Xenopus tropicalis: one gene and its partner. The main gene of each other region encodes a partner of the protein of the gene in region 2 in a complex. Links are inferred from orthologs where the notes say so. Each region holds a gene or a part of one and is shown on either strand. Other genes may lie near its edges.

The links.
Region 1: dis3l (region 2) and exosc10 share a complex: the UniProt entries of both Homo sapiens proteins name them as parts of the RNA exosome complex. The link is inferred for Xenopus tropicalis from reciprocal best matches to the Homo sapiens genes DIS3L and EXOSC10.

Annotation. Positions count from the first base shown.
Region 1 is NC_030683.2:64,900,376-64,904,525, forward strand, and holds the start of exosc10 (exosome component 10), read right to left. Parts: upstream 2,801-4,150; 5' UTR 2,737-2,800; intron 1,164-2,736; 5' UTR 1,100-1,163; coding exon 974-1,099; intron 1-973. UniProt on the Homo sapiens protein: Catalytic component of the RNA exosome complex which has 3'->5' exoribonuclease activity and participates in a multitude of cellular RNA processing and degradation events.
Region 2 is NC_030679.2:117,130,569-117,132,720, reverse strand, and holds the end of dis3l (DIS3-like exonuclease 1), read right to left. Parts: intron 1,559-2,152; coding exon 1,384-1,558; intron 1,271-1,383; coding exon 968-1,270; 3' UTR 501-967; downstream 1-500. UniProt on the Homo sapiens protein: Catalytic component of the RNA exosome complex which has 3'->5' exoribonuclease activity and participates in a multitude of cellular RNA processing and degradation events.

The sequences.
Region 1 (4,150 bases), on a different chromosome or scaffold from region 2:
AATTACTATAACTTTAGGAAAGCATTGCAACTTGGTAGTTTGGAGTAGACAGGCAGTTCTACCTATTATAGATTCCCCAGAATCTGTTCTTTCTTAAAATGTATAATTTTCTGGGATAAACCTTCTGTTAGTGGCCTTGAAATCTGAAGTAAGCAGCATTCTGGAGCAGTGCTTTGGAAATTTGGTAGTGTACTGCTGGGAGTTTTTGACCTATTTGTATAGATTTCAGGCCATAAATCTCCATAAAACTATATATATATTTGGTATTGGCACGTTCAGGAGACATGGGACTTTCCAAATCAGTTGTATTTTCATGCATAAACTAATTTTTGTTTCTGGTGTATGTGTTTATATTGTGGAAAATATTTTTTTTTTCCATTTTTTTAGACAATTAGAAGCCTATATCTTGTTACAGAATTGGAATTACACAAAATTTCTACCATATTTTAAAATCTTAGGTTGTCCTGAAAAAAACAATATATTGTCTTCCAGGGTAAACTAAAAGTCCCCCCCAGGAAAGGCCCCTAAAGTGAAACAGTGCAAAATGTTCAAAAACTGTCTGGCAGTAGAAGTTCCGCTTAGTCCAAAACGGCTGGCAGTGAAAGGGTTAATGTTGTACAGTTATGGATAATATAAATACAAGTTGCTGATATAGTTATACCAAGCTCCCAAGTACTGAGTCCTGATGTAACGTGGAAGCCGTGAATTCATCAACACTTGCTAATAGTAGTTATTCTTTAGAACAAAGCGTGTGCAGAGAAATTTCATTTTAAATGACAACGTCTGCTCTGTTGCTTCCACAAAACTTCCTACCACACAAACTATAACGTAAACTCTATTCAAACATGTGGAAAAGTTAGCTTCAGTACTAACGCAACAAAAAAATCTGTTAACACTTTTTTACGGTCTAGTGACATTTCAACGAATTATCAAAACGTGTAGGGAGATTATCAATAATAGTATAAACCTAAACCTTAACAAAAGCGTCCGTGTCTGAAAAACCGGGAATGGGTTCGGAGTTGTCGCGGGACAGGTCTTGATCCTCCCGAATATCTACCGAATTCTCCATTTTCTGCATGCCTCCACCGGGCGCCGCCATCTTCTTTTGAATGACGCACAACTACGTCAGTTAAAAACGCGACCCGCGATGATGGCCTCACGCTCTAGGATATAAAGTGACATCTAGTTCCTGTTCGAAGAAGCAAGGTCAGCCATGATGGTTGATGGAATAGGAAAAATTAGCTATTTCGTGCTGCGATTAAATTTGTATGTATATTTGCATCTATAATGTAGTAACGCAAGTAGTCCGTAAATTATACAGTTGTCAAAATGCCAGTGCGTTAGGAAAGTGCTTTGTTTTTCTTTTATTAGTACAATAAATATAAATATATTATTTTCTTACAAGCCACAAGCAATGTTACAGTTAGGGTTGCCACCTTCTTTGGAAACCTGTACCAGCCTTAATCTTTAATCTTTTTTAACTACTGATAACATTGTCAAAAAGCATCATTTTTGCTGGCCTTATGCATAGCTGCCCCCGGGTAATGACAAGTGGCGGTGCAGTGATACACAGACTAGTATGTATGTACGCAGCGCTGTACAGTAGAATACATTTATACAAACAGGGGGTTAAGATAATAGATAAATACAAAGTATAACAATAAATACAAGATACAGTAGCAATAAGAGTAAAGCTGGCCATACACGTGGCGATCTGACGATGGTCGCACGAAACATCGTCAGATCCGCCACACACCATTCAGGGCTGAATCGGCAGGTAAGGAGGTAGAAACAATAGGATTTCTACCTCCTTCTGCCGATTCAGCGCTGAAGGGAGATTTTGGTCAGGTGCCTAATATGGCGCCCGATCAAAATTTTTAAACTGGTCCGATCGGCGAGTCGGCCGATATCAGCAGCTTCCTGCGATATCGGTCGACTCGCCGACATACCATACACACACCGAATATCGTACGAAACGAGGTTTTGTATGATATTATCGGTGCGTGTATGGCCACCTTAAGAGTCAAAGGCACAAGAGGATGGAGGTCCCTGCCCCATAGAGTTTACTTACAATCTAAATGTACCTACCTGGCACCCCCTCATTGTAGCACCCATGCAAGTGCCCCTTATGCCTACCCCTAGTTCCAGCCCTGTTGACAGCTCTACTTATGTGACATGACACTGATTAGAAAGAAATGGATTGCTAGGATGGGTCGGAAGCTGGTGGGATTGAGTCGAGTGCAGGTTAACTTCTTGCCTACCCTCACCCTCATATCACCCTCATAGTGGCCAGGGAACAGTGAGATAGTGGAAGATAGATTAGATGAGGTTCTAGACAAAGTAGAGGAAAATGGAGAGGGAGAGGTGGCAGGGAGGAAAAGAAGTTACATATACAAAATAGAAAAAAAGGTACACTCTAATTTCTTCTAGGTTACATGCGCAAAAAATCCTTTTGTGTGCACATTTTTTAGTTGTGTGCACATTTTTTAGTTGTGTGCACATTTTTAAAAACCATGTGCTCAGATGTGAACAAGTGCAAATTTTTTTCTCTTGACAAAGCTGCAATGAGCAGCAAAACAGTAAATCTGCAACACACTGTATTCTATCAATATTGCCACAGCAAGATATTCATTTGAAGCCTATGGAAATAAGATATTCCTACTATAGGATTTATAAATATTGCACTTTTTACAAGAAAGTTATCTTTATTGGAAATAAAAGGATGGCCCTGCTTACCTTTCAACATTGATATAACTATGTATAGCAGTGCTGTCCAACTTCTGCGGTGCAGAGGGCCGGAATTTCTCTAGAACATATGGTGAAGGGTCGCTAATGGAAGCCAGTTTTGACCACTCCCCTTTTAACCACACCCACTTCAAACCACACCCATTTTATCACAATGGTGGTAGTGCAGCAAAAACCCAAAAGCTTGGTCCTCACTGCGGGGATATCAACCATCATTGTGAAAGAATTATATTATGTAATAATAAGACATATGCCTTAAAGGACATGGAAAGGCAAAGTCACTTGGGGGTGCCAAAGAGACTTAAATCACCTACCTTTTACCCCAGGCTGGTGCCCCTGTTCGGAGAGAACAGCACCAGCCCGGGGTAGCTGCAGTGCTTCCTCCTTCTTGCTTCCGTGCACGCGCATGCGCAGTAGAGTGAAAAAGCCTAACTTTAACAGAGAAGTCGGCTTTTCACTCTACTGCGCATGCACCTATCGTATAGTCGCAGCGAAACGAAGCAGGAAGGAAGTGCATCGCTACAGGTACCCCGGGCTGGTGCTGTTTTCTCCTAACAGGAGCACCAGCCCGGGGTACAAGGTAAGCGATTAAAGTCACTTGGGGGTGCCTAACATTTTGGCACCCCCAAGTGACTTAGCCTTTCCTTATCCTTTAAATCCATGTGCCTCCACCTCCCCTGTGGATAGCACAGCAACTCCTGGCACATAATTACACACCTTAGGGACCATTTAATGGCTTTTTCCAACTGCTGACAAACTCCCAGAACAAACCCCTGCCATGTTCACCTCCCACAGGGCAGGCAGAGTATGGCACACATAAGCTGCACTCTGCCTGCCCTATGCTGCCTGTGTGTGCCATACCGTGGGCCGCCAGTTGGACAGCACTGATGTATAGCATACCTCCCAACATTTTGAAAATGGATAGAGGTACAAAAAGAAATGCTGTGCACAGCGCAGCAATTTTTTGACCACACCCCCTAAATGCCACTCCAATTTGACTACATTTGACAGGTTATTTTAAGTTTGAACACATTTCTGGGGGTTTTGGGGACTTGTTTTAATAACACATAAAACAAGACCCCAAAACCCCCAGAAATGTGTTAAAAACGCTGAAAATGCCCTTTAAAGTAGAAAGAAAGGTAAAAACTAAGTAAGCTTTATCAGAAAGGTCTATGTAAATACAGCCATAAGCACTCACAGAAATGCTGCACTGACTTCTCTGAAAAAAGATTAGTTGTGTCTGTAATTCCTGTGCCAGAGACATGCAGCTTTCTGTTTTCTGCTCTTTCCTGCTCCCCCCCTTAGGAACTGAGCATGTTCACTTGGTATGCATGTCTGTGCAGGAGTGAGGCATTATGAGAACTTTCTTTATGCAGCTCAGCATTTTTTCTTCCTGTTTGGCTTC
Region 2 (2,152 bases):
GCCCAATGCTAACAGTTCCTCTATCTGAAGCCGACCACCAATTTTTTCTCCAAAGGGAAAGCAAACCCACTCAGGCAAATTTTTGCAAACTTTACATTCAAAATCACAGGAGCACTTACCGGGCAACAGTGTGTGCTCACGTCACGCCAGAACCCAGACGGCAGCAGACTAAACGAAGTATTGTATTTGATACGGAGCAAACAAACACTGCTGATAAAAAATCTCTTATACTTTATTCAAATTTCTTTAAAATCATGGTGTGCACTTCCAGGCAAAAAAGACCACACGCCTGACGCGTTTCGTGGTATCCCACCACTTTCTCAAAAGCTGTATTTGAGAAAGTGGTGGGATACCACGAAACGCGTCAGGCGTGTGGTCTTTTTTGCCTGGAAGTGCACACCATGATTTTAAAGAATTTGAATAAAGTATAAGAGATTTTTTATCAGCAGTGTTTGTTTGCTCCGTATCAAATTTTTGCAAACCAAGACAGACAGCAAAGCTTTCAAAAATAAACATTTATGCAACATAAAACAAAATCATATAAAGTCTAATTAACATAAAAGAATAATTTCCTTGGGATATCCAATGTATGCTGCCTGCTAAAAGTGCGCTGAAATTCCATATCTACAGGCTGAACAATCTAAAATGGGTTTAAATAAGAACCTATCATTTCTTTGTGTGACCCTGAGAGGATAAAGTACATGATTATGCATGTAGGAGTAGAGAAAAGAAGGCAGAGATAAAAAGGGCTCTTTCCATGTCTGCATTCCTTACAGGGACAGGGTAAAAGCTTCTGCTTAGCAATATAGATCTTCTGTACAACAAGTCTGACACCGATTCAGGTTGCTGCAACATACTCATTTGTGCCTAAGGTCATTCAGCTGATTAAAACTGCTATAACTACGCCCTATGTACGCCGACTGGGGTAAGAAGAGGTTCAGAGCCCTAAAGCACGGTATAAAGAGTATTATGCACCAGATACATCCAGTAGAGCCAGGTCCCAGAGCTCTTCCAGCATAGAGTACAGACTCTGTCCCTGAGTTTGCCTGTATTCCTGGTAATGCTCCACAGGCTTCAACTCTTCTGCTCCCTCCACCGCCAACTGAGCCTCTACTGCTGTTCTGGTAACTTCCTTTACCAGCTCGCTCCTGGCCAGCTGAGGGTTTGATGCAGAGGGCAGCGCTTCCTGGGACGAATGTGGTCTGTTCCTGATTATTTCCAGCCGAATGCTATCTGGGTGGAATCGAGATGACTGGACATGTATCCGCACCTGTGCAATAATAAACAAAGCTAAAGTCACAAGCAGGGACTGACTGATATGAATGACGAATAAACCATGCAGAATATATATAATAGACCTGAGGCATTTAATAGGATACTCACAGTCACATGATCAAACAGACAATAGGAGAATGACTTTGCTTCCTGGGTAGTGACCACAATTCGATCTGGTAAACGCTGCAGGGACCCAGGCATCCAGTGGCACCGCCCATTGTCCTTGCATGCAAGTACAAGCCCATCTATGTTTTTCAGGTACGCTGCTCCTTTAATGCCATATCTATAAAGGTCAATAGAGTTGAGAATCACTGAACCATAGGGTGACGTGCAAATATTACATTGCTCAGTAAAGGGCATCTACCAAAAATAACTAAGGTCAAGCCCAGCATTCACGCACAAGTGAATCTATATATCCACCTCTAAAGCAGGGGAGGAAGAAGAGCAGATGGAGTCACACAACTGAGAGGAAGCCAACAATCTCAGTTTTCCTGTCTCCAGGGTAAGAGCTGCACAACACAACTATTCATTGACTGGCAGATGGAAAAAACAGTGTCTTGCTCCCCAGCCATACACCTTGTCCTGGGCATAAAGCTGGTGTTACAACTCATTACTGGGTGCCTAACAAATCGACACCTCCCAGTGAGTAAACTTTTTGTTGCCTTTTAAAAACAGCCATTATGGTATAAAGCCACCTTGTAAGACCTATTGGTTCTGATTATTACCGAGGTAGCAAAATTACATCCAAGAAAAGCTAATTTCCTTTATTATATTAACCCACTGTAATGTTTAGTAGGCAGGCGTAAGAAATTGCTTGTGGGCACACTAAACTCTAATAACAAATATGGGCAGAAATGCTGTACTTTAGGCTGGTACA